Linked DNA regions of Mus musculus. The protein of the gene in region 7 interacts with the protein of the main gene of each other region in a pairwise test. Links are inferred from orthologs where the notes say so. Each region holds a gene or a part of one and is shown on either strand. Other genes may lie near its edges. The genes, in order: Mkrn2, Gkap1, E2f1, Eid1, Apbb1ip, Lax1 and Ndn.

The links.
Region 1: the proteins of Ndn (region 7) and Mkrn2 interact in a two-hybrid assay, tested with the Homo sapiens proteins (2 studies listed by BioGRID and IntAct). The link is inferred for Mus musculus from reciprocal best matches to the Homo sapiens genes NDN and MKRN2.
Region 2: the proteins of Ndn (region 7) and Gkap1 interact in a two-hybrid assay, tested with the Homo sapiens proteins (2 studies listed by BioGRID and IntAct). The link is inferred for Mus musculus from reciprocal best matches to the Homo sapiens genes NDN and GKAP1.
Region 3: the proteins of Ndn (region 7) and E2f1 interact in a two-hybrid assay, tested with the Homo sapiens proteins (2 studies listed by BioGRID). The link is inferred for Mus musculus from reciprocal best matches to the Homo sapiens genes NDN and E2F1.
Region 4: the proteins of Ndn (region 7) and Eid1 interact in binary tests that used the Homo sapiens proteins (3 or more experiments, as listed by UniProt). The link is inferred for Mus musculus from reciprocal best matches to the Homo sapiens genes NDN and EID1.
Region 5: the proteins of Ndn (region 7) and Apbb1ip interact in a two-hybrid assay, tested with the Homo sapiens proteins (2 studies listed by BioGRID and IntAct). The link is inferred for Mus musculus from reciprocal best matches to the Homo sapiens genes NDN and APBB1IP.
Region 6: the proteins of Ndn (region 7) and Lax1 interact in a two-hybrid assay, tested with the Homo sapiens proteins (2 studies listed by BioGRID and IntAct). The link is inferred for Mus musculus from reciprocal best matches to the Homo sapiens genes NDN and LAX1.

The regions. Positions count from the first base shown.
Region 1 is NC_000072.6:115,600,698-115,604,737, reverse strand, and holds the start of Mkrn2 (probable E3 ubiquitin-protein ligase makorin-2), read right to left. Parts: upstream 2,801-4,040; 5' UTR 2,751-2,800; coding exon 2,725-2,750; intron 1-2,724. UniProt on the Homo sapiens protein: E3 ubiquitin ligase catalyzing the covalent attachment of ubiquitin moieties onto substrate proteins.
Region 2 is NC_000079.6:58,271,389-58,275,580, forward strand, and holds the start of Gkap1 (G kinase-anchoring protein 1), read right to left. Parts: upstream 2,801-4,192; 5' UTR 2,686-2,800; intron 2,434-2,685; exon of another isoform or gene 2,246-2,433; intron 1,344-2,245; exon of another isoform or gene 1,162-1,343; intron 1-1,161. UniProt on the Homo sapiens protein: Regulates insulin-dependent IRS1 tyrosine phosphorylation in adipocytes by modulating the availability of IRS1 to IR tyrosine kinase. Its association with IRS1 is required for insulin-induced translocation of SLC2A4 to the cell membrane.
Region 3 is NC_000068.7:154,559,893-154,563,392, reverse strand, and holds part of E2f1 (transcription factor E2F1), read left to right. Parts: intron 1-302; coding exon 303-455; intron 456-1,931; coding exon 1,932-2,046; intron 2,047-2,142; coding exon 2,143-2,362; intron 2,363-2,457; coding exon 2,458-2,705; 3' UTR 2,706-3,500. UniProt on the Homo sapiens protein: Transcription activator that binds DNA cooperatively with DP proteins through the E2 recognition site, 5'-TTTC[CG]CGC-3' found in the promoter region of a number of genes whose products are involved in cell cycle regulation or in DNA replication.
Region 4 is NC_000068.7:125,671,934-125,675,991, reverse strand, and holds Eid1 (EP300-interacting inhibitor of differentiation 1), read right to left. Parts: upstream 2,801-4,058; coding exon 2,321-2,800; 3' UTR 349-2,320; downstream 1-348. UniProt on the Homo sapiens protein: Interacts with RB1 and EP300 and acts as a repressor of MYOD1 transactivation. Inhibits EP300 and CBP histone acetyltransferase activity.
Region 5 is NC_000068.7:22,871,827-22,875,326, reverse strand, and holds part of Apbb1ip (amyloid beta A4 precursor protein-binding family B member 1-interacting protein), read right to left. Parts: intron 1,779-3,500; exon of another isoform or gene 1,168-1,778; intron 528-1,167; coding exon 6-527; 3' UTR 1-5. UniProt on the Homo sapiens protein: Appears to function in the signal transduction from Ras activation to actin cytoskeletal remodeling. Suppresses insulin-induced promoter activities through AP1 and SRE. Mediates Rap1-induced adhesion.
Region 6 is NC_000067.6:133,687,309-133,691,486, forward strand, and holds the start of Lax1 (lymphocyte transmembrane adapter 1), read right to left. Parts: upstream 2,801-4,178; 5' UTR 2,501-2,800; intron 1,697-2,500; 5' UTR 1,599-1,696; coding exon 1,513-1,598; intron 991-1,512; exon of another isoform or gene 1-990. UniProt on the Homo sapiens protein: Negatively regulates TCR (T-cell antigen receptor)-mediated signaling in T-cells and BCR (B-cell antigen receptor)-mediated signaling in B-cells.
Region 7 is NC_000073.6:62,346,873-62,350,428, reverse strand, and holds Ndn (necdin), read right to left. Parts: upstream 2,153-3,556; 5' UTR 2,022-2,152; coding exon 1,044-2,021; 3' UTR 501-1,043; downstream 1-500. UniProt on the Homo sapiens protein: Growth suppressor that facilitates the entry of the cell into cell cycle arrest.

The DNA.
Region 1 (4,040 bases), on a different chromosome or scaffold from region 7:
GTCTCTCTGCAGAAGTAGTCAGCATCCTTAACTCTCCAGTCCCGTCCTTCATACCCTTTTATAAGGAAACCTCCTTTTCATACATTTTTGTGAGAATGAGAACATGTGAAAACTCTGAAATGTCCTGCAGTTGAGCCCGGGGTCTAAGACTCAATGCTGGCTTCACACCTGTGTCACTCTGACGCTAACCCTGGGGAAAACCTGACAATACCAAGGTCGTTTCACTGTGGAAGATGTTCATAGAGTTGACAGATCTCAAGGTTGTGATGGATGCTACTGACTGCAGATCACTGAGGAGACAAATCTCCTGTCACAACTGTGAGGGAGAGGTGGGAAGACCCATCCTGAGTGTGGAGGTGTCGATCCTTAGGCTGGGGCCCAAGACTGAATAAAAAGGGAAGGGTGACCTCGGCACCAGCACTCTTTGCTGTCTGAGTGTATGAGGTCAGCTACAACAAGCTCCTGCCACCATGCCTTCCCCTCTGTCATGGGCTGTACCTGCAAACTGAGAGTCAAAATACAGCCTTCCTTCGTTACATGCTTCATCCAGGTATAGCACTATACAGCACTACACATTCTATGACTTGACAAGGCAGCAGAAAGAAGACCACAAACACTAGTCAACCCATCTAGCCCCAGCATTCCAACTCTTACCTGCACCACATCTTGGGTTCTCTTATTTGTGAGACAGAGCTAAAACTATCTCCGGGTACAAAGGGGGAGAATCAAAATGGCCGGGCTTAAGCATTACATGAAGGTTTTGTAGACACGTGTCTTAGGAAAGCCTTTAAGTGGTAGAACTAAAAAGCATCTAGGAGTCGGGCAGTGGTGGTGCACGCCTTTAATCCCAGCACTCGGGAGGCAGAGGCAGGCGGATTTCTGAGTTCGAGGCCAGCCTGGTCTACAGAGTGAGTTCCAGGACAGCCAGGGCTATACAGAGAAACCCTGTCTCAAAAACAAAAACAAAAAACAAAACAAAAAAACAAAACCATCTAGGTGTGGTGGCAATTAATTCTTGCATGGGAAGGAGAGGTAGGCAGATCTGAGTTCAAGGCCAGCCTGATACATATAGAGAGTTTCAGGATATACACAGAGAGACTCTGTCTCAAACAACAAAACTGTAAACAAGCAGAGTTTTAGAGGTTATTTTCTAAGTAGCTTGAGTCTGCTTTAAAGGCCACTGTGGTAGGAACACGTCCTCCTGCAGACGGAAGGGAGTAAGTACCCATTCACTCATCCTCAACAGAGACGTTCTAGTAGCGATGACCTGCAAGCACTGTTACAGGACTGCCGAAAAGTTCCCATTGCTGTGATAAATCACCAGGACCTAAAGCGACTTTGGGAGGAGAGCTTAGACTTGTAGGTATCTTCTACTTAAGTGTCTTACTCCATCACTATGGGAGGCCAGTGCAGGACTCCAGGCAGGAGCTAATGCAGAAGCAAGGAGAGTGCTGTTGACTGGCTTGACCCTCTTGGCTTGCTCAGCCTTTCTTACTGCACCCAGGACCACTAGCCCAGAGGTGGCACCACCCACAGTGAGCTGGGTCCTCCCACATCAGTTATCAACCAAGAGGTTCCCTCTTCCCAAATGATGATGTCTCATGTCAACTTTGTCAAGTTAACACAAAACTAGCATATGCATACACACAGACACACACAGACATACACAAACTGCAGTTTTCTGATTACTACTTAACATAAACCACCTGGGACCTTGGTACATGGTTCAACCCTTAATATCTTAAGTCGAACAGAACTCTTCATAAAGGTATTAGTTCTAGGAGTCTGCACTAATGAGAAATAACAAGGTCATTAAATGCTTACCACATATCCAAACTACATCTCAATTTCTTAATTTACTGAAACCAACTAAAGTCTGTATAAGCCGAGGCTCCTTTAATCCAAAAAGCTTGGGCTCAGGAGAGTCTTTAATTTTTTTTGTACTTTACAGTATTTTCATGTACATAAGGTCTTGGGGATAGTACAAGAGTCTAAACACAGAATTCATCATTTCACATATGCTTATACACATACCCTGAAAAAGTTCTCTGTGTAGCCTTTGCTGTCCTGGACTCCCTCTATAGACCAGGCTGGCTTCAACTAACTGAGATCCACCTGCCTCTGCCTCCCAGTGCTGGGATTAAAGGCGTGCGCCACCACCGCCCGCCTTCTATTTAGGTATCTTAAGAGTATTGGATTTTGGAGCCTTTTGAAATTTGGGTTTCCACAGTCGGGATTCTCACAAGCCTTACTTCCCAAGCTGCACCTCCTGAGCATGCAAACTCACAGGACTAGACCCCAATGACAGCCACAAGCTCGTCACCAAGTTAGTACGTTGCTACTCAACCCAACTATTTTTGTTTCAAAATAGTAGTCACGGAATAGTTTTCTGCTTTCCACTTCGTCTAACAAGCCGCCTTTCTGTTCCTAAATGGGTGTCGCTTTACCTCTGGTGGCCTCGGTTTCCTGCATCTCGAAATGGGACTCTTCGGAGGCTCAGTGGTGATGCTGGATAAGAAATGCGACCTGCCCGTGTTTCCCCGCAATCGCCCTCGCTCACTCTCTGCAAGTCGCGGTTGCAGCAGCTCTTGCCGCTCTAGCCTCTATGCGGCCTTCCTGCGCGTTATCCGCGCTGTCCGCCCCCCGCCACCGCCCGCCTCGGCCCCTCGCCTCCCTCCCTGGCTGCCCCGCAGCGCCCAAGGCCCAGAGGGGCCGCGCACTCACCTGCAGGTGACCTGCTTGGTGCTCATGGCGGCGGGGCCACGGGCTGGAGTCGCACTGAAACCTCAGAGCCGCCAGCGCCGTGGCCCAGCCCGGCCCCGCCCCGCCCTTCCCCGCCCCGCCCCGCCCCCCGCGGAGTCGCGTCACTCCTGCGCGCGCCACCCTCGTTCGTGCGCTACTTCTAAGGTGCCGCCCGGAAACCTAACCACCATCACAATGGGTTCCGCCAGGGCCTGGAGCCGGAAGGTCCCTACTCCTTAGTAGTCCGGATCCCAACTTTCTGAGGCTAAGGGTCTGAGCATGTCTAGTATACTGAATTTACCAATCATCTGCGAGGCCCTTACTTCTAGGGTTCGGCCCCCATCTCTCAAGGCAGTCTTTTAAGATGATGATGATGATGATTGATGATGTTAATGATGATAAAAGTAATTTTACTATTTATCTTTATTTTATGATATGAGTGTTTTTGCCTGCATGTGTGGCTGTACACCAAGTGGAATGCAGTGCTGGTGCAAGCCAGAAGAGGGAGTTAGATCACCTGAAACTGGAGTTGCAGACGATTGTGAGTTACCATGTCGGTGCTGGGAACTGAACCCTGGTCCCCAACTAAACAGCCAGTGCTCCTAACCACTGAGCCATCCTCTAGTAAGAATTTTTATTTATTTATTTATTTTTGGATAATTTCATACATGTGTACAATGTATTTGATTATATCCACACCAAATATCCTCTCCCCGTACTGATCTTTTTGTGTACATACATACATACATACATACATGCATACATACATACATACGTACATAACTCAAGGCAGGAATCTGGAGGCAGACACTGAAGCAGTATGTACATATATATAATTTGGATTTTTGCAAACTACAGTTGTGTTATCAGCTTTGAAAAAGTGTCTCCTGGTTTATTGTGTTGAGTTGGCATTGTATAGAAATGAACAGCAGGGGGCTGGAGAGATGGCTCAACGGTTAAGAGCACTGACTGCTCTTCTGAAGATCCTGAGTTCAAATCCCAGCAACCACATGGTGGCTCACAACCAGCCGAAATGAGATCATGAGATCTGGTGCCCTCTTCTGGTGTGTCTGAAAACAGCAACAGTGTACTTACATATAATAAATAAATTTAAAAAAGAAGAAGAAGAAAAAATGAACAGCATAGTACTCTGGAAACATTATGGGTATTCTTTTCATTTTATAGAGGTGGTACACTGTAAAAACAGGTAAGGACTTCTGAATGCTCAGCTCTAAATAGAACATGTGTGCCAATACCCTGACCTTGCTAGCAAGGCTCTGAGAATATCATGGAAGGGG
Region 2 (4,192 bases), on a different chromosome or scaffold from region 7:
TATTGTTACTCTGTGTGGTTATTGGGGACTGGAATAAAGCAAAGAAATACAGCTGCTGGATTAATTTATGGCTATATTTTTATTAAAAAAGTAATTCACTTACATTCTACAGTGATTTCTCCCACTTTCCCTGTTCTGCGAGAAAACAGACTGCTCAGTGTTCACTTGTTCCTGGAGTCTGGAATGTCTGTCTCCTCCACTTAAAACTTCTCCGTTCTTCAAATTTAGCCCCATTGCAATTCTGATCTGCCTTCTCGTTAATGTTCCTGCACTTACACTTAATTCTGTTCTTCATGGACTCTTTCAACAGCTACCACTGTATCTAGCTCCCTACTGTCCTGATTTACAAAATGCTGAACAACACAGGTCTCTTCTTTGTATTCCCAAATATATATATATATATCAATCAAGGACTTGGCACAGATATCAGCCAGTTGTAATGGGCACATCTGCAGTCTCAGTACTGGAAGGGATAAGGCAGGAAGGTCATAGGTTCAAGGCTAAACTGGGCTACACAGTAAAAAACAGTCTCAGCAAAAAAAAAAAAAAAAAAAGAAGAAGAAACATTAATTAACATTATTAACATTAAATAAGTTAATCATGACCTCAAGCTTACTGACTGAGGCTTAATTACATTCTCCAATCACACAGTGCCATACCTAAGTGTGCACTGGAATCTGTGCTCTGAACTTGAACACTGAGGGTGGAGAGCACACACCATCTAACTAACAGCACCGTCACAACGAAGTGTTTCCACAACTCATCTTTTTCCCCCTAGGAATCTTGTTTTTGTAGGAAGCTTTGGATTTTGTGTCAAACTGCTGATTTTTAAAAGGTGAGGGTGTGAGATAAACTGTTGCTACTAAGGAACAGGCCAAGCTACGCCTAGCAAGATTTATAAATGAATGACCTGTTTTCTTGAGGCCTTGGTCTCTATGAAGGGCCACTGCCATCATGAGCACCTTCTTCTATGACATCAGTGTCGGGAAAGAATTGAGCCTGGGGGAACTTAAGTACATAATTTCAGCCCTTTAAAAAATGAACAGTAGTGACTGTGTCGATCAACACTATCAACCACCTAGCTTGATCCAAAACGGAACTATGCAATGTCAATGTCATCAGTTAATATGGCCATATGCTTTGAGAGGGCAGCTCTCTCACCATGTAGCCTGCACTGGAACCAAACTCTCAATCCTCCTGTCCCAGGCTCCTGAGTCTTGGGAATACAGGTGTACACCAGTTCGTGCAGCTAGAGAGGCCTTGGTGGACTCTAACAGATCAAACACAACAGACTGAGGACTTGCGACTCCAAGAGGCCCTGGGTTTGATGCCAAGCACTGTCCCTACGAATTACAAAATGAGAGGAAAAGGAATGGCCTGGTCTCCCTCATCTTCTTGGCTGCTTGACTGTCATTTTGACTTCTTAGAACTTAAGGTTACAGGGATCGAGGACCAACGGTCCTGAAACTTTTGCTTCCAACACACTTATCGAAAATGACATAAACTTAAAGGCATACCCGGAGCTCCACCACCCCCCCCCACCCCCCCCCCCCCCGCAACACACACACTGGTTAGGTGCAGCCTTCCTTTTCTAATCCGAAGCTCTCAACTTCTGTGGGTTGTGAACTCTTAGAAACAAAAACAAAAAGCAAACTGCAGACATGTACTAAGGAATTCAGTCATGAAGTGCAAAGGTGATTTTCACTTGCACACAACGTCCCTCTGATCCACGTGTAGGTTCTCGCTCTAGAGTGATTGCTAGAAGCCCCTAGGGTTAATATTAAACAGGTGTATTTCGATCTTTAGTGAAAAATCACATTAAAGAGGCTTAGACTAACCGATTTTAGTGGCATAAGCTAGTGTAGGGAAACCCCAGGCTTTCTAGGAAGATTCTCAATACAGCATTACCATCTTTCGGCAGTTTCTCCAGTATTTCTGGAGCTACAGCTTAACTTCATTCCCGTGACAGGCGGGCGCAAGCGCCTTCACATAAACAGACGAGGCTGAAGAACAATGCTTGTGTTTTTCCAGCGCCTCTGCCTCTCGCTAGAACTCTCCACCGACATCCCTTGAGAAATGTCGCCAGTGGAGGGAGCGGGGCAGACAATGGGATAAACTTTTGCCCCGACTGCTCCGCGTTTACAGACACCCCGAGGCTGGCACCCTACCGCTGCCACCGCCGCCGCCGCGCATAGCTGCTGGAAGCCCCGACAGCAGGGGCTTGTGCGAGAGCCTGCGCATCTACCTCGGGCTGCTGGGAGGGAGGGAGGGAAGGCGAGCGGCGAGCAGCCCCTCTCTCCTCCTTCGGGAACCGAAGCCAAATCTCACGCACGAGCAGTTCCGGGTGCTCCAAAACTTGTTCGCGAAGTACCCGGAGAAAGAGCGCGGCGGGCTGGGCGAGCCCCAGCCGCTGCCGAGACGCGGTGTCCAAGCCTGCAAGCGACACCGGCGTCGGGTGGGCGCCCCGGGGAGCCCCGAACGGGCGGCCGCACCTGCTGTCACTCCCGCGGCCGGCCGCGGCGGACCAGGCCTGCGGCCCGCACTCCCCCGCAGCCTCCGCGGCCCTCCCGCCGCCCGGCCCCGCTCGGCTCAGCCCCGCTCGGCTCCGCTCCGCTCCGCTCCCCGCCTCAGGCCGCACTCGGCCGCGTCCCCTCAGCCACGAGCTGCGAGGCTCCGTAGACTCACCGGGCCTCCCTCGCCGCGGTGCGGCCGCTCCCGTCTCCCCGCCGCTCCCGCGCTACCCCCGGGCGTTGGGCGCGGGCCGCGGGGCGTCCGCAGTAACGGGCCCGCGGAGGGCGGCGGCGCGCGGAGGGCGGGGCGGGGCGGGGCGGGGCGGACCCGCAAGCCTGGCGCCCGCCGTGGCCGGCCGGCGCGCGGGACTTCTTTGCCGAGGGTCGCAGCGCGGCGGACGCTGACGCCGAGGAGAGGTCCGCGGGGGACGGACTGCGGAGGACCAGAACCACCTGCTGGAGGAGCCGCGCTACGGGGGCCGCGCAGGGTCCAAACGGCTCGCGTAGGCGGCGGCTCCGCGGTCCTCGGGGTCGCGGAGCCGGGAAGGTGGGAGGCCTTCCGGGAGGAGGCTTAGGCCGCCGCGGGCGGCGCGCGGCGGGATCGCCAGGCTGTGGGGAGGCCCGGGGGCGGAGGCGGACCTCCAGTCGGCGAGGGAGGGCGGTGCTGCACGAGATGCAAACAGCCGGACGGCCTTGGGTTCCCGCGGGAGCACCTCCGGGGCCGCTTTAGTTTTGCAAAGTTAAGCGGCTTACCGGCAAACCCGTCCGCTACCGCCCAGCCGTGCGGGCTGCCCGGCGATGTCCCGCGCGAGTCACCGCCGCGGGTGTAGACGTGGGGGACACAGTGGGGAGCGAAGCAAAGAATCGCAGAAGACGCCAGATCACCCTAGGGCCCGGTGGAAAAAGAGAATGTTACTCGGGATCCGAGGACTGCGAGCATCTTTGGGGCAGCGCGAGGGAGGAGGCTTTTGGATTTGGCCTGGGAAGAGGTGGGGTTTTGCGGGGAGACCTCGGGGCCTTGGATGGAGGCCATTGGACGCTGCGTTCCACAATGAGATTGGAGGTGTTGACAAGTGGCAGAGACGACTGAAAAATGAGGGAGGGGGGCGGCGGTGGTGAGGGATGGCTGAGTTCCAAGAGTAAGGATTGATGTTTAAGGCAATATTTGATGTTTTAGGATTTAGAAGTTTGAAGGAAGAAATGAAGGCTTTTTTTGCTTTGTAACTCCTGCAGATGTTAGAGATTGAAAACTGGCAGTCCTGTGTAGACCAGGCAGACGGTAATAACAGATGAGCTATGGGGGGGCGGGGGGGGCGGTGAGGACACACGGCTATGAGCCCCCAACACTTGGCAAGCTGATCAGAAAGTGAGTCCAAGGCCGGTGGCTACACAGAAAGATTGATCCGGGGGTCGGGGCCAAGAGGATGGGGCAAGACAAGATAAAGGAAGGCAGGAAGAATTTTAAATGATTGAGAAGTGATGTGGAGGTGCATTCTACAGGATTTGAACATCTGATTGGGAAGGGAGAAATGAGGTCTTGAGACCCGGTTGCTTGTAAGAGGGAGCGTGAACACTTGGAAGAGGAGGATGCAGCTACTTACCGGTTTTCATAGGACTGGGGTTGAAGGCAGCTAAATAGGTGGCCATAAGCAGTTGAAGCAGTTCTAAAACAGCTGAAAGAA
Region 3 (3,500 bases), on a different chromosome or scaffold from region 7:
TTCTTTTTACTTGATAGTGTGTCTCCAAATCGTTTGTATCTAATTCAGCTGTGTCATTCCATGGCATGTTTGTGCTATTGTTTTCTTACCTGGCTCCTTGGTGGGTGTTTGTTGACTGATCAAGCATTTTACTGAGCCCGTGCCAGTCTTACTCTAAGCCTACCTGGGGAGCAGAGCCACAGAGGAAAAGGAGCTTGCCAGCTTCTCACAGAATAGTGGTGGCAACAGATTGTCTTGAGGGTTAGGGCTGATGGATGGGTTGGGGGCGCAAGGACTGCTAATTCTTCACTGGCTTCCCACAGAGGCAGCCACACCATGGTGGGGATTGGTAAGCGGCTTGAAGGCCTGACCCAGGACCTGCAGCAACTGCAGGAGAGTGAGCAGCAGCTGGATCACCTGATGCACATCTGTACCACACAGCTGCAACTGCTTTCGGAGGACTCCGACACCCAGCGATATCCTTGGATTGGTCAGGGTGCATTGAAGGCCGACTTGGCCAGTGGTGGCGCCGCACTACTGAGACTATAGAGGTTACCTAGGGCTCTGATGATAAAAAATTCTGGCTTTGGAAACAAGACCTGGCTCTACATTGACTTACCATGTGACACCGAACAAGTTACTTGGATTTTATGGGCCTCAGTTTCACCTATAAAAGAGAGGACAGTAATATCTATTTCCAAAATTGTACATATTAATAGAAAAATAGCCAGGGCTGTGGTGGCGTGCACCTTTAATCCCAGCACTTGGGAGATAGAGGCAGGCGGATCTCTGAGTTTGAGGGCAGGCTGCTCTACAGAGCCAGTTTGCTGTCTCAAAAAAAAAAAAAAAAAAAAAAAAAGAGAAAGAAAAACGCTGGGCATGGTGGCGCACGCCTTTAATCCCAGCACTCGGGAGGCAGAGGCAGGCAGATTTCTGAGTGTGAGGCCAGCCTGGTCTACAGAGTGAGTTCCAGGACAGTCAGGGCTATACAGAGAAACCCTGTCTCAAAAAACAAAAATAAAATAAAATCTGACATTCTCTTCTGCTGTCTGAAGACAGCTATAGTATACTTATATATAACAAATAAATCTTTTTTTAAAATCAAGTAATACATTTTAAAAGAAGCCAAGGACTGGAGAGATGGCTCAGCAGTTAAAAGCATTTGTTACTCTTACAGAGGACCCAAGTTCAATTCCTTGCATGTACATGGTGGCTCACAGCTATCTGTAGTTCTAGTTATAGTGCATTTATGCCCTCTTCTGACCTCCAAAAGCACTAAGTGCTTGTGTGGTGCACATACAGGTATGGAAACCACTCATATACAGAAAAGACCAGGCTGAGAACAGGGATACAGACTCTGGGGGAGCAGAGCCATGGGGATATCTGAACTCAGGCTGCTCTGGTCCACATGCTAGGCTAGCCAGGGCTACCCAGTGAGACCCTGTCTCAACCAAAGAAGGAAAGCCCAGTGTGGTGGTATATACTTGTAATCCCAGGGCCAGGGATGAGGCAGAAACTAACACTGAAGGCCAATTGAGGTTATAGAGTAAGACATGCAACATAAGCATAGGTCACTGGATTACACAGACCCTGTCACCAAAGAGTGACAAACCTTTCCTTGGTCATTAATTTAGTTCCCGATTGTAGCTTCAAAGTTAAGACTTTAATTCACAAAAAGAAACTATTAGAAAGTGTGCCTTTTAGTGAATATCATTATCAGTAAGATTGTCAAAATCCATTTCCCAGTCCAGACCTGTTGAGCATTTGATATGAAATTATTACAGGCAGCCATGAGTTTGGAATTGGATGGGTAGATAGTCTCACTGTTGAGAAAGTTGAAGTTTAGTAATGAGATTCTGGGCAGCTACTATGGGCCAGGTGGTGGGATGAGGGTGTCAAAAAGGAGTGACTGGGGAGGCGTATGTGAGTCAGTGGTCCTTGACTCCCCCAACCCTGGCCTATGTGACCTGCCAGGACCTTCGCAGCATTGCAGACCCTGCAGAACAGATGGTCATAGTGATCAAGGCCCCTCCTGAGACCCAACTACAAGCTGTGGATTCTTCAGAGGTGAGACTAAGGACCCTAAGCCTTTCCAAGACAGGGAGGCTGGGCTGGTGCTCACCTAGGCCTTACCTATCTATCCTGCCTGCTGCCTCCACCCAGACATTTCAGATCTCCCTTAAGAGCAAACAAGGCCCCATTGATGTTTTCCTGTGCCCGGAGGAGAGTGCAGACGGGATTAGCCCTGGGAAGACCTCATGCCAGGAGACATCCTCTGGGGAGGACCGGACTGCAGACTCTGGCCCAGCAGGGCCTCCACCATCACCTCCCTCCACATCCCCAGCCTTGGATCCCAGTCAATCCCTGTTGGGCCTGGAGCAAGGTAGGTAGGGCCAGGGTTTGTAGTATTTGGCAGGCACTCATGGCAGCCCCTCTCCTGCTGGGCCTCTCCTAACTTGTAATGCCTCCTTTCTCCAGAAGCAGTATTGCCACGGATGGGCCACCTGAGGGTCCCTATGGAAGAGGACCAACTGTCACCACTGGTGGCTGCTGACTCACTCCTGGAGCATGTTAAAGAAGACTTCTCTGGGCTCCTCCCTGGGGAGTTCATCAGCCTCTCCCCACCCCACGAGGCCCTTGACTATCACTTTGGTCTCGAGGAGGGTGAGGGCATTAGAGATCTCTTTGACTGTGACTTTGGGGACCTGACCCCTCTGGATTTCTGACAGAAGCCTAGGGATTCAGGGTGTCTGGAGATGCCCACCTGTCTGCAGCTTTGGAGCCTCCTGCCCTGGGCCATCCTTCCTGCCTCATTGGAATAGCACGATCCATACCCTCTGTCCCAATAGCTTCTAGCTCTGGGGTTTGGTTGCTGCCACATTGAGCAGACCAAAATGGGAAGGATGTTGTACAGTGTGTGTGCATGCACCCCACACTGCGCACTGTGTGCCTGGGGTGTGTGTCTGAGTGTGTGTGTGTGTGTGTGTGTGTGAGTGTGTGTGTGTGTGTGTGTGAGTGTGTGTGTGTGTGTGTGTGTGTGTGTGTGTGTGTGTGTGTGTGTATGTATGTGTATGTGCACGTGTGCCCGGGAATGAAGGTGAACACATCTGTATGTGTGCTGCAGACACATCCTGGTGTGTCCACATGTGTGCATGGATCCATGTGTGCGCATTGGGGTGGGGGTGGGCTCTAACTGCACTTTTGGTGTCCTTGCTGCAGGGGCCCTGTGAGGCCCAGGGTGGCTGCCTGCTTTCAGAATCCTGTGTGTCAGCCAGGCCGGGTGGTACAGCTTGCCTGGCTGGGTTTGCAGGGCAGCAAGAGCACTGCTTAAAAGTTTTCCGATCGAAGCTTTAATGGAGCGTTTATTTATTTATCGAGGCCTCTGGCAAGCCTGGGGGGATAAGCAAAGGGTGGGGGGCATGGGTGATACCTTAAGTCCCTGTTCTCTGAAGCAAGGGCAGGATCCCTACCCAAGAGTTGCTGAGGCCCAAGCAGTTTATTTATTGGGAAAGGGAGAGGGA
Region 4 (4,058 bases), on a different chromosome or scaffold from region 7:
CAGCTGGAGCTACATAGTGAGACCCTATCGCCACAAAACTAAAGATAAATACAAGAGGGTCCAGTGAGTAAAAGAGTTTACTACCACGCCTGATGACCTGTGTCTGATCCCTAGGCCCCACCCAAATGCTGGGAGAGAAGCAACTCCTGAAGGTTATTTTTTGCCCTTTGCTTACTGTGGCATGAATCTCCCAGATAGATAGATAGATAGATAGATAGATAGATAGATAGATAGATAGATAGATAGATAGATAAATGCAGAATAAAGGATACAAAGAAATACCAATGCATGGCTTCTCCTCTTAACTTCCACGATATACTTTGGTCCCCAAACACAAATACACTCAAATTTATGGATATTTGTATTATATTTCTGTGGAGATGTGAACAAAAGTCTATTTACAGCAGGTAAATACCAATAACAGATCAATAAATGATTCCCTCAAGTCCAACTAGTGAGGCAATTTATTGGGTGAGTAAAAAAGAGGGCTGAGGGGTTACCCATGGAAGTGTTTGTAGCGGCTCTATCTAAATGTCCTACCCTAACATGGGTGACAGCTTCCCAAACACGAGTCCCCACCTAACATCAGCCAACCTCCCACCTTTTGTGTTTTAGCACCTTCTGAAACCACATGTAACCGGGGCAAAATTATGTACAGGTGCTTTGGAGGTACAGGAGCAACTAAAATCCCAGGTGAGGGTCTAAAATTACTAACAGGCCTGCCCAATCTTGGGGGAGGTCTCTCTCCCTCCCTCCACCACATGGACCCCAGAGATCAAACTCAGGCCATCAGGCTTGGCTATATGGCAGAAGGTACCTTTACCCACTGAACCACCTCGGCAGCCTCTCAAACAAGATGACTGTAAAACCAACCAACCAACCCCACAGAAACCCAGGAGTTATCCTACTGTCTCAGCTCTGTTCTGTATTGGTTGCCATGGTGGCATCAGCAGGGACATCGTGCTAATACATCATTTTCTTCTCAAGGAACTTCAGCATCAATTAAGCCATAGCATCACATTCACAGAGCGGGTCTTCCAGAAAACTCTGAAATTTGCTTTAACATCCCAGAACCCATTTTTTGGATATTTGATACTGGTTTACATTGTAAGCATTGGATGTTTAAATATCAAGATGGAGGCGTGGCACACACAGCAAGAGAATCCTGTATAAAGCATGTATGCAAAGCTATTAGACAAAGCAAAATACACAGAACAAGAAAATTTATTATCGCCAATGCTGGTGCATAAAGATTAACAAGCATAATTAGAAGAAGGGAGGGGGAGGGGAAGAAAGAGGCAGAGAGGGAGAGAGAGAATATGAATATCAGACACCCAGGTGGACTTCTGGGTAGGTTTAAAACCTTCAAAGTTTGACAACATAATAGCTCATACATCTTTTTATAGATACAGGCAGGATTTCTTTTTACTTGACAATTTTAGCAAACAGTTCTTACAATATGAACTTCAGTTATAGTCTTACCATCTGTCAAGGTACAAAACAGCAAGTGAAATTTCCCTAGTATAAAAGGGTATTAGAAAGTTTGTCTTTGGGCTTTCCCATACATTTTATTTAATGCATGAACTTAAAACCTTAAAAAGACATCCTGTTTCTTTCTTTACTTTGAAAATCATTACAATGGGTTTTTCCAAATTAGAGGTCACAGTAGCTTTATAAATCATGAAGATACATGTGCAGTCAAAATTCCAGAAGCGTTTGTAACACATTTTAAGATGACAGCACACATGATAACACGTCTACATTTATACCCACATTTACTTGGACTACTCTGTGGGGTAGATGAATACTCAATCTTAAACCTCAAGTTTAGCTTTTGATAACTGATGTGTATAAATCACCAAAAAGAATTTGGAAAGTTTTTTTTTTTTTCAATAGCCTTTCAGTTCGAATTAAAGACATCTTGGAATGTATTTCCCCCCATTCTTTAATTAGATTCTTGTATTGGTAGTCACAATTTACTCTTCCAAACCATCTTTAAAAGCTTAACAGAGAAAGCTCTTCTCCAATGTAAGGAAAATCATCTCGATCAACAGTCTGAACCAGAGGTTTTTGCTGAGCCCCTGTGAGACCAAAGAGGAACGATTTGGTCTTTTTCTCCTCGCGATTCTCAGGTTTAACACTCCTCCTTCCTCGATTCTCCTTTTCCACAATGCATGGTCATTCACTGTCCCGTCTTCTATTCCGAGAAACAAAAACCAACTGTTTTTATTTTTTGCACAGAACTATTTGGAATGAACCCCAAAATAGCAGAATGTTGAATCTCTCCCTCTCAGGTAGTTTCCTCCTCTCTCGTCAGCATTTACTCTCGATCAATGATCTCATCACAACCGAGCTCTTCGGTCAGTCGATTGACAACCATCAGCGAAAACAGCTCTTCGATAAAAGCTAGCTGGTCGAAAGGGCTCTTCTCACACCGCGCCTGAAAGCCGCCATCCAGGGCATCTCCGGCTCGCGCGGTTCGCAGGAACACCTTGTTGGCTTCCTCCAGGGCGGCGGACACCCTGTGCATCGCGCCGCTCCAGCGCTCCTCTTCAGGGAACTCGTAGTCGTCCTCCCAGTCATCAAACTCGTCGCCTTCCAGGTCCGCGCCAGCCTCGGGGAACAGACCGCGCTGGGCGCGGGCGGCGGCCGGCCCGGCCTCCTCCTCCATGGGGCCCTCCTCCGGGGCCGGCCCGCGGGCCCCGCGGCCTACCTCCATATAGCCCTCGCCGGGCAGCACGTCCATCTGCAACTCGTTGCTTTCTTCGTACAGCTCGCAAAGCTCTGCCATCTCCGCCATGGTGGAAGCGACTCGACCAAGGTGGAAAAAAAAAAGGAACCTTTTGCAGAGACGGGCGCGCGAACGGGCGTGGTGCGCGTGCGCAGGCAAGAGGGCGTGCGTGGAGCGCGAGCTGGGGGGGGGGGGCGCGTGCGCAGGCGAGTGGGCATGCGTGATGCGCGTGCGGAGCACGTTTCACGTGCGCAAACGGGTAGGCGGGCGTGGTGCGCGTGCCAGCATGGCGTGCGTGTGCTGGCGAGTAGGCCGCTTGGTCCACGGGGGGGGGGGGGGGCGTGGTGCGCGGGCGCGGGCGCGGGCGCGAGCTCTTCCCTTCCCACCCCTCACCCCCTATGTTTCCCGGACTCCCACCTCACCCTCACACCCACTCAGGACCCGCGATGCTTCCGCTGGTGACCCACCTGGAGACCAGCTCTAAGTTCCTTGCCAAGTGCTTGCTTTGCCTAGATGGAAAGCCCTGGCCTTCTGTCACAGATGCCATCTCTCCTCCACCTCCCTGCCTCCCCAGCGTTCCTGTGATCAGCATGTCCATTACCTCTCACCATTTCAAATCCCACTAGTCCCGTCCTGCGCACTGAGAAAATTTAACTTTTCGGTTTTTTTCTTCTGAATTTATTGAAGTTGACCTAACCAAAGATAAATTGTGTGTATGTCCACACGTATATACCATGGGGAAACTAAACCACATACATGTGTGAGTACTAGGATAAAGAAAGGTGGAAAATAGGCTATACATATTTTAAATATATACAGATAATCACGCGCCACGGTTGCTCTACAAACTTAAACTGTAGCCAATAGTGTTTGAGAATATCCACACCCTTACCACGTATTGTTTTATGGAATTAATATAAGTAAACTTAAGTTTTATCAATTTGATCTCTCTTTCGTGTGTATGCGTTTGTTTGCCTGTCTGTAATGTTTGTGTGCCACGTGTGTGCATTGTGCCTACAGAGGCCAAAAGAGGGCGTTGGAACTCCTAGAAACGAAGTCAGTTGTACACTGCCCTGTGATTACTGGGAGTCGAACCCTGGTCCTTAGTGTGAGCAGCCGATGCTGTTTACTGCTGAGCCATTTCTCCAGCCTTGATTGTATCTTTATAATCTTTCCATAGCTTTAGTTTATTATTCGTGGATGCAATGGCCCTGTCATGTCCAAGAGACAATGCTCCATAGCATTCCTCTTTATCTTATATAATTTTTGCCAATGGTCATTTTTTATATTCTTCAGCGAACTTTTCTCCAAAGTGTTACATGATCCT
Region 5 (3,500 bases), on a different chromosome or scaffold from region 7:
TGTCCCTAGGGTATATTGCCTCTTTTCTTTTGCAATGCTTTCATGAGGTCTGACATAAAATCTTGCTCACTGTTCCCTGGTGCACCGGGGAGTCCTTGGTTCTCTTGCCTCTTGGGGGGGACTAGGGGCTTTTTGGGGGGCAACGGAGATGACTTAGTTATCTCCTGGGAGAGACAGGGCGGGGGTGGTGGCGGGGGTGGCAATGCAGAGTCTTCAACAGCTGCAGGCGGTGGGGGTGGTGGCACGAAGTCTGGTGGCTCCTCCAGGTAGGGCGGGGGCGGGGGTGGCGGGAGTAGCCCGCTGTTGTCCTCCTCAGGCGGTGGGGGCGGTGGAGGTGGCAGGAAGTTCTCCGGCGGGTGGGGGAAGGTGCAGGTGCCAGGGCCCTTGACCTTGGATGGCAAGGCGGGGCTGCCACAGGTGTCTGAAGACCGTCTTACTGGAGGGGGTGGCGGTGGCAGGCTGGACTTAGGACGGTGGTTCTCCCTGGTTGCTCCTGGGGAATGGTTACCCAAGCCTTGCTTTTCATCCTTCAATAAAGAAACAATAGAGTTCTTACAGTTCTTGACAGTACATCCATCATGTGGCATTGCCGCTGATGGGATTGCCCCATTCCTTCCTACACTGGGTCTTAACGTGCTCATGAGCTCACCTTTCTCCAGGCACAGGAATGATTCCAAATGTCTGTCACATCATTAGATGTGAGCACTAAAACAGCACGCTCTGTAACTGGGCATCTTAACCACATTTACTCTAGGAGGTGTTTACTGTGTTTAGGACAAGCACAGACCTTCCCTAGCAAGTCTTACACAGAAGTTAAATGTCTCTCTAAAGTACTAATAAATCCTAACTCAACTCAAACTGGAAACCAGACGATTCTCTAAGACTCCCTACTCCTGACCTAAGGCAAGCTATCAGTGGGCATATGCAGGAACACAATTTTAGGTGTGTGCATGAGTATATGTGAGTGAACTATCCCTCTGTGCCACACCGTTGACAGCATAGAGGTAATTAAGGGGCATCTCAGAGTGTTCACCAAAATATCTTGGCTTAAAATCTAGTGAAGCACTTGGCTAAAGAGCTCACAGACTCTAGGGGTGAACATACTATTATTTTTACTAAATGGACAAAGTTTTAAACTGCCTTCTAAATCTCTCTCTGTATCTTTAGGTTAGTGCTGCTTCGTCCCCATCGGAGAAAATTCTTTGCACAGTGGCCAACAGTCATTACAGAGACTCACACTGATCCAGGTGCGGAGAACAAGTATCAGTGACGTGCTCACTCATACATGGAACATCTTTGTAATACACCCTCCCCCCCCCCCCCCAAGACTCAGTTCTCTGGAACAAGAAGAGGCAAAAGGACTGTAAGAGCCAGAGGTTGGAGAAGATGAGGGTGAAAGTATGTCCTGGACATGACAGGCCATGACCTGCATAAGATCCAGCTAGTGGACTTTCCAGCACAGCTGGCACAAGTATAGGAGCTCCTACCCCTAGCTGAGGATCGACTGACTACTGAGGAGGGAGAGTCAGTTCTCCTTAGGGCTATGGTCCCTGGCAGGTTGACTGTGACCCAGTGGATGGCCCTATACCCATGAGTATATAGGTAACACTGGACTCAGTGGGTTATAAGAAAAAAGGGAACATGGAGTTGAGAAGGAAGAGTGTGTGGGAGTGAGGGGGTATTTGAGAGGAGTTGGAATGGGGGGATGGGGGATAAATGTGCTTGAGATAAATTGTGAATTCTCAAAGAATAAATAAAGAATATTATGCTAAAAGAAATCCTCTTTGTTTAGACAGCCTGCTTGGTTAGGATGAAGAATGTACAAGTGAAGAAACTGAGAAGTAATCCTGTCTGGGTGACAGGTAACTCTTTTACAAAGCCATAAAGGATCTCTTCCTGCTGGAGAGTGTGTCCAATCTTTCCCTTGGTTGTGGATGAAATTTCCATGCAGCACTGTTCTTAGAACAAAGGTTCCAGTTCCTAGACTCTGCCCTTCTAAGGAGGAGTTGATCATAAACTTTGTCCTTGTACCTTAGAAGGTTCCAGAAGGGAGAGGTTGGAAGCAGGACACATAGTCTAAAATTGTGTGTGTGCATTTGTGTGTGGGTGTGAGTGCGTGCTTGTGTGTTATGAAATTCAGGTATACAATGAACATGAGCTGCCTCATGTTATAGTGAGATAAGCCCTAGAGTCAGAACACTTGACCTGGCTTAAGTCTCTCTAGACTCTAAGGTCTACAGCGTTCAATAGAGGACTTGACAATGGCAATAACAATGTGTATTTAAGTAACAGTGTATTTATATAAATGTAACGTCCCCAGCAATTTCAGGCAGCTGAATTGAATGACTATGTTCTGGTGAAAACCATCATCACTTTAATTTACATTTTTATCAGCTTTTAAAGCATTTTTTTTCTCTGCTTAACAGCCTGAACTACTAGATATTAAATTTAGGTTTTTTTTTTTTTCTTCTAGCAAAGTACTTTTCAATGAGTTTCAATTGTGTTTCATTTATTTACTTAGCATGCAAAGCTCATAAACTTGTGATTTATTTCTTGATTTTTTTGGATCAGGCAGATTAGGTATTGGCATTCACAAAGAAATTATTTCTATTCTGGGGTTCTTTCATTCCTTCTTAAAAAAATACTTCTTTTTGACTAATGTTACAGAAATAATGAAAATATAACAGAAAGAACACTGCCTGGTCAGACTCTCAGGTTTGGATAGATTAGAGAAACAGCTTTTAAAAGTCTGAAATGGCTTTCAAAAACAACAAATCTTTAAGTGAACACCAATTTTCACTTTTACCTTTGAAGGTGTGGATGAAGAAAATTATTGAAGTTGTGCACGTGGATTGTAATATGTGGGTGATAGGACAGGACCACAATTAGTCTGAGCTGTACTGCACCACAAGAAACACTCAGTGGAAATTCAAGAGTCACCTGAATTGGATTAATAACTAAATTACAAGCATCTATGGGTTTTATACAAATTTAAATTAATCTTCATTAGTCTCTTTTATATAAAAAGTTATGGAGGATGTTATATTTCAGCCTGCCTGCTTGCCTGCCTGCCTTCTTCCTTCCTTCCTTCCTTCCATCCTTCCTTCCTTCCTTCCTTCCTTCCTTCCTTCCTTCCTTCCTTCCTTCCTTCCGTCTGTGCTAGCTATGGAGCCCACATACCCTCACACATATAGGGCACGTGCTGTGTCTCTGATCTGCACCCCTAGCTCTTGGTTATTATTTTAAATGTATTTTCTTTTCCATCACCCTGAGTATGTATTCAAGTCATTAAGTGAAAAATATAAAATGCACATTTTATAAGTGGACCCCTTTTGGGAATCTTCTGATCCGGTCTTGGGGTTCACTTGGCACTTCATATAGGGTTCCCGACTAATTTTCAATTGCTTTAATTCACTAAAACAAAACAAAACAAAACACCTGAAAGTCTCAAGGGCTCACTGAAAGGACGTGAAATTTATTATGACATGAAGGAAACCCCT
Region 6 (4,178 bases), on a different chromosome or scaffold from region 7:
TATGGCAATTATCCCAAAAAATTAAAAATAGAATCGCCATATGCTCTGTCAGTCCCACTACAAGAACTTTATTCAAAGCAAATGAAAACTGTGTCTGTACTCCCGTGTTTATTAGAGATGTTTGTACTGTCATAATCTTTGCAGCAAAAGTCACCATAGCCAAGATGCAGAATTAACCCGCGTGTCTATCAACAGATAAGTGGATAGAGAGAATTCGGAATACACATGCAAAAGATATCACTGAGCTTTAAAAGGGAAGACGATCTTGTCATTTGCGACATGGTGGATGGACCCAGAGGACCTAGCATTAAGTGAAAGAACCCAGGAACAGATAGGTCCTGCTCCGTCTTGCTTATATGCAGAGACTAAATAGATTGAACTCAGAGACTCAGAGAATAGAATGGAGGTCACCAGAGGTGGTAAGGGAGGGTTCCCAGAGGTGCCAAAGGTCAGGTAGAAGGAAGAAGTTCAACATGGCAATGCTGAAAGTAATGGATTCTTGAACATTGCTTAAAAGTGTTATTTGAAGCATCCTCTCATAAAAGGATATGTCACGTAATACATACGGTATTTAGCCATCCATAATACACATGTATTGCAAAACTATGTGCTAAACATAATACATAAGTACAGATTTTATTTACTGACTACCAAGTGAAAAAGAAAGAGAAAACAACAATAAAGCAAATGTCAACTTAAAAAAGAAATAGTTTTAAGGGGTCAGTGAGAGGGCTCAGTGTGTAAAGGCACCTGCAGCCAAGCCCAACACGCTAAGTTTGATCCCTGACACCCATATGATGAAACTGACTTCTGTAAATTGCCCTCTGACCTCTACACCATTCTACTCCCCCCAGATATAATAAAGAGGGAACTCATTTTAAGAGGGTGCTCCAGGCTTCAGCGATGGATAGGAACTTGGTCCTCTTCGTTTGTGTTTGACCTGCTCGTGACACTGATTTACTCTGGTCATCACGCTGACTTTTCCTGAAACTACAGCAATTCAGGAACAGAATACACTGTCATTGGGTTTTTACTTTGATGGAAGAGCTGGAATTTACCCATTCTAATGTTTCTAAAATCTCAGCGCCCTATCAACAGATGCTTTCCTTTTGTGTATTTGAGATTGAAAACTTCCGGAGCACGTTGACATCCGTGACTAGCTCTGTAAGGTCCTAAAACTTTATGACGTCTGCAGTTACATTTCTCACTCATGACAAGGGCTTTAGGATCTAAAAACTCATTGCAGGGATTAGGCCAAGAGGTTGGAAATCTCAAGGGCAGAGGTCAGGACCTCTGAGTGGAAGAAGATCCCCTCAGAAATTCACCTCTCAGTCAGTCCGTCCCTCTCCCCTCAACCCCAGTATCTCTTTTCTTCCCTCCCAGCATCCCTCGGGGAAACAGCTCTTAGCTCCCCAAGTTTGCTCATCTTGGTGGACCCAGGTCTGGGTTGGAAATAGACCATTCCTGTAGGAGATCAGGGGACCCTGGGGCTCACTTTCCCAAAGCACTCACCCCTGCAGGCTGCCAAGAGTCCCCTGCCGAGTGCTGGGCTCTGAGTTCCTTCTTGTGACCTCTGGAGGGGCCGGGGTGCTGTACATCACTGGACCTCTGAGGGGCTTTGCAGCTTCTAAGCCTTTTCAGTGTCGTGACTGACTAGCCAGTATGGCTTCCACTTTTCTTAGCTCTTTCTAAGTTGCTGATTCATAGAGGGGAAAAAGGGTAAACTGGTATGCATTTTGCATATAATCACCTTTTAAAAAAAAAGTAGATAATAGAATGACAGAAAATTCTCCAAATCCCTATGTATTCCAAATTGTATCATTTTGTACTATTGAAATTTCTTATTTAAGTACCCAAGATGATATATATATATATACATATATATATATGTATATATATATATACACATATATACACATACATATACATATACATATACATATACATATACATATACATATACATATACATATACATATACATATACATATATGGGGGGTGTAGGATCTTGAACTCTGATCCTCTGCCTCTGCTCCCTCAGCACTGGGATTTCCAGGTGTGCACCACCGCACTCATGAAGGTGGTTCTGGAGCTGGAACCCCAGGGCTTCGAGTACCTCATGCAATGCAGCCACCTCCCAGTCATTCTTCCTAGATCATATTCACCAAGGTTCTCACATACAAAACTGGTTTTTAGTTTTTGTTTCTTTCTGAAGCTTTTAATCTTCTGTTCTAGAATGTTCTCCCAACAAACTGCCTTCTTTGGGCTGGTGCGATGGCTCTGCAGGTAAAGGTACTTACTGCCAGTTTAATGACCCAAGTTTACCCTCTGCATGCATAGTGGAAGGCAAGAACCGGTTCCTACAAATTATCTTCTGATCTTCCGAGACACACACACACACACACACACACACACACACACACACACACACAGAACGGCTGTACCACCACTACTACTACTAACAGCAACAACAATAGTAATAAGACCCAAACCTCCCTACCTTCACCTGAAATTCCAGGCTGAGTTGGTAGAAGGTTCATCAGAGTTGGTCTACTGGAGGTGGCCACAATGCCCACTGCAGGAGCCGTGCTCTTTCTCACCCAGCTGTCTGTGCTCCCAGTGTGAAGCAGTAGGGCCACTCTCTAGTTTCTGCCAGTTGATGGAAACATGAGGGGCCTGTGGGGGAGTAGGGAGGCGACTGTCAAGAGGCCCAGCGTTTTCGTGAGAAAATCTTCTTCCTCCAACCCCCAGGGCAGTGTGAAAACAGCAAACCACTCTGGCAGAATGGAAAGTCGCTGACAGGAAGCACCCTCCACCGGTGTGCTAATAAGGCCAGGGCACAGGAAATGCTCCGCTCAACCCAGACAGCAGGAAACCCACCTTCAGCCCTCCTGTTCCCCACAGGCACTCTGGCATCTGGGGCCCATGTGGTTGAAGAGTCAGAGACATGACTATTCACCCTGTTTTTCTGAGTGTTAAAAACCTCTAGGGTCAAAATTCGAAGGTTCAAGACAATGTGCTTGCGTAGCTATTGTCATTGGTTATCTTTACTTATTTATGCTTTTCACATCTATTTACTGTGTCTGCACACATGCCGTGCCACATGAGTGGGGGTCAGAGAACACTGGAGGGAGTGTGTTCTTTCCTACTTACTGTGTTGGTCTCAAGAGTCAAACTAGGGTGTTGGACAGAGGCAAGTGTTTGTATCCAATGAACCATCTTGCACACTATGTTTTTTTTGTTTTTTGTTTTTGTGAGGCAGATCTCCCTTCAGAGGTCAAGTTGACTGAACTCATAGTAGCTTCTTGTCTTAATGTCCCTGGTGATGTGCTTACAGGTGTGAATCAGGCTCAGGGCTCAGAATGGTTCTTACCCCTGCTCCCAACCCAAGACAGGGTTTCTCTACACATCCATGGCTTTTCTTTCTTTCTTTCTTTCTTTCTTTCTTTCTTTCTTTCTTTCTTTCTTTCTTTCTTTCTTTCTTTCTTTCTTTCTTTCTTTCTTCCTCCCTCCCTCCCTCCCTCCCTTCCTCCCTCCCTCCCTCCCTCCCTCCCTCCCTCCCCCCCCCTCTCTTTTTGGTTTTTCGAGACAGGGTTTCTCTGTATAGCCCTGGCTGGCCTGGAACATACTTTGTAGACCAGGCTGGCCTCGAACTCAGAAACCCGACTGCCTCTACCTCCTGAGTGCTGGGATTAAAGGCGTGTGCCACCACTGCCCTGTTCTGTATTTCACTACACAGGCCAGGCTGGCTGACCTCAAACTCTCAGAGGTCCTCCAGCCTCTGTCTCCTAAGGGCTGGGATTGAAAAAGTGTACCACCAATGCTGGCCTTAGAATGGTTCTTAGCAGATCTCAAAAGAGCTAGAATTAGTTGTTTAGAGAGCTGTACAGAGCTGGCACCCGCTTGTGGTTCCGTGGGTGGACTGGCTTCATAAATAGATCTTCTGCAGGTGATAATGCCAGAGGTGAGCTGAGTTTCATACTCTCAGAGCCTCTGTTCCGGTATCATAGTGGGAATGGAACCGAGCCCGGGTTACAGGGCCGTTGGCCACTGTTTCTTCCTCAGGGCTTCTGGTGAGGGGCTATCTGTTGCTGGCCTGGCTCTGCTGCAGCCAGTCCCAGTCCTGGGTAACCTCTCATTTCAGGTACTGCTGGGTTTCTCGCCAGCATTTACCTCAA
Region 7 (3,556 bases):
AGTGCGTGTGTGAGTGGTGGCCATGGGGAGCTTGGTGTCAAGACTCCTGTATAAAGGTTTTAGGATAGTTCATTACCAACACCCCTTTTATTTTTTCTTGCTCTGTGATGATACAGTTATTCCTTACTTCTTATGGCTGGTGGGAGGACAAAATAAAGAAGAAAATGCATGATAAGGGTTTATTCTGCTAAAGTGTCCATCAAAGACTATTTTAAAAAATGCAACAGAAAAGGGGCAGGCCCTCCATATACCTGTTATTATCCCCATGTTATGTGATAATGAGCTTTTTTGTTGTTGTTGTTATACCTTTTATGTGACAAATTGATTAAAGCACTGCAAGTTTCTTCTGAGTGGTCGTGTGGTCTCCCACTGTGTTAGGACACCGTGTTTGCTTATGCTGCACACAGGGAGAATCTTTCTCATCCCCACCCATTCCCACTCCCCCTTTCATCAAAAATAAATGCCTCCTCCCCCCCCCCAAGAAATTATTTCACAGTATCTTTAATGCTCATTTTAACGTTTATTTATGGTGGGGTTGCATACATGTTTTGTAAAGGGTGCTAAGTGCCTACACTGAGAACAGTCCAGTTCAAATCAGTCCATTCCACATGGATGCTTCCTGTGCCAGTTGAAGTCATATGGAGAAAGGCCTTGACCTTTCTCTTGCTCAGGTCTGCGTTGCTGTTAAGTCCTGCTAACTCTCCAGGGCCTTCTTTGTCGATACAGATCATCAGTCCCATACAAAGAACAAGATACAGAACACCTCAATGTATTTCACAAGTTTAGCACAGCACATCTCTTGTACAAAAATGCACGAAAGCACAAAAGTGAAAGTACCAAATACTTATCACACATGCATCAATCTTAAACACTACACGAGTACACAAATGAATAGCATTACAAGGTACAAAAGCACTGTATGGAAAACTTAAAAATTATACATGAAATACTGCACTGTGGATTTGGGATACTCTAATGACTCAACCCCACCCTTACACAGCCCTAGTATGGGTCAGAAACTATCAGTGTGCCCCTGGACCTTTTTAGTCCTCAGAGACACTGCTGCGGGGGGCCTGGGCAGCAAGATTAGCCTCCCGCAGAGCTCTGGCCTGCTCCAGAGCCTCCCTGTATCGGGAAGGCCACGCCTGGGGATCTTTCTTGAAGACTCTGGCCAGGAACTCCATGATCTGCATCTTGGTGATTTCACGGTTAGCTCTGGACCCCCAGAAGAACTCGTACTCGGGAGGCTCGATGTGGGGCACACGCTGGTACTTCAGGTAATTCTGCTGGACGAACTCCTCGGTGATTATCTTCCTCACGTCTCCGAAGGTGGAGTGCTTCTTCCAGGGCCTCAGCCCCAGGATGCGCAGCACATTCCAGACCGCACCCTCTCTGGCCCCGCGGCCCTTCACATAGATGAGGCTCAGGATCATGAGCAGGAGGCCTGTCATGGGCATACGGTTGTTGAGCGCCACCCTGTCTAGCTCCTCTGGGCTGAGGGCTTTGACCAGGGCAAACTCCATGGTGTGGAGATTGGTCAGCCTCAGGTGCAGCCCGAACACTCTGGCGAGGATGACGCTGGTGCGCCTGAGGATGCTTCTGCACCATTTCTTGTAGCTGCCCATGACCTCTTTCACCATGTCTGGAAACCAGAGGACCATCCTCTTCTGGTCCTTCACCAACACGTACCACATGAGCTCGTGCGCCTTCTGCACCAGCTGGGCAGGGGCTGGCGGTGCTGGGATCGGCCGGGCTGGACTCTGGGGCTGGTGGGCGCGGCCCTCCTCTGCGGCCTGCTGCAGGATTTTAGGGTCAACATCTTCTATCCGTTCTTCGGGCGGTGGCGAGGCCTGTTGGGCTGCCATAGGGCCTTCGGGAGCGCACGGTGGCCCTGCGAGGTTAGCGGCCAGAGAAGCGGGAGGAGGGATCCCCACCGGAACGGCATCGCTGTCCTGCATCTCACAGTCGGGGACCTCGGCTGCAAAGTTAGGGTCGCTCAGGTCCTTACTTTGTTCCGACATGTCTGCGCCTTCGGATCAGAGCAGGACCGATGCGGCTTGGAGCTCTTGGAGCGGGCACTCCCTCGGTGGAGACCAGCAGAGGAAGTGCGCTTTACTGAGCACTGCGCCTTCCGCAGCAGCGGGCGGGCGGGGCTGATGCGATATTGCGCATGCGTGTTGGGAAGCCAGAAGGGTGGTAGGGCTGGAAAGGAGCGAAGCAGCAAAGCCCAACCACTGGGGTCTAAGGGAGGGTACCACTAGGCTTATGTAAAAGATTTCCTGGTCTCCTGTATGGCACAGAACTAGATGATGGTAGGGAAAGAAACAAGTTGAAGGAGAAAGATGTAGCTGAGATGGTGAAGTTAAGTTCGGACACACTGAGTTTGTGCAAAATCAAATTAAATGTGAAGGTCCTGGAGAAAGACTTAATTCTTGATTTTGGTTTTTCTACAAAAGAATAAGAGAAACAGAAATGACTTTTTTTTCTTTTTTCTTTTGGAAAGCTGTACCTTATGATGATGATGAGTTGTTTAAGATTGGAATATTGAGAAATTATTAATAGAGATAAATTCTTACATATCTGAATGCAGATCAAACAAGGAAGAATGTAAAGTGTAGTTACAGACACTGGAGATAAATCCATGTGAGATTTGAATGTTCTAGAAGTAGTAGATTCATATAGCATAATTGATGGGAGTTTAAAATTTTAATTAAAATGAGACTTGGTTCAGTGGTTAAGAGCTTTTGCAGTTCAAGCATGAGAACCAGAATTTAAATCCCCCAGGCCCCACATGAAAATGAGGGATATATAAAATATATATATATGCATTCATTCATCATTGGATGCTCAGTTTGTTGGTTTTGAATTATTTTAATAACTATAGATTTGGGCTCTCCATTTCTATTAGGTCACTTTGTTTTCATCTAAAGCTTCCGTTAAGATTCTAGTGGAAAATGATCAACATATTTATTAATACACATTTTATGACAGTGTATTTTTCATATTTTCCCACTACCTTTTTGCCCTGCTCACTGCATCTTCTGCGTTTATAAGAAATCTTCTACTTCTTAAATTATGTCATTCACAAATGACTAATTCCATGTTGGGAGCACATCCAAATCTTTCCCAATATATTTTAAATGCAGCTCTTTTCGATACCTAACAGTCTCTCATGAATAAGATGCAACATATTGGTGTCCAAAAATAAAAAGGTAGATCGAGAGGTCATCTAAAGCTGATATTTCCTCAAACTCTCCTTTATACAATGACCATTGTTGAAGCTTCCAAAGCCAGAAGTCCTTAGATTTGATCATCTTTCTTGTTCTGAAATAATGGAATTCCTTAGCCCTTCTCATCACTTAAAGCGGACAGATTTAAGATATCATGTTGGCATTCCTAGGTTCTAAAATATGTTTGTTTAGATATAACAGCTATCTTTTACCCAGAATAGTTATGGCAAGAAGCGATTCAGAGTTTTCCAGATTTGAGAATATTTGCACATGTACAATAACTTGTTTTAAACTCCAGCCTAGACGTGTTATTAGTTTGCTTCTTA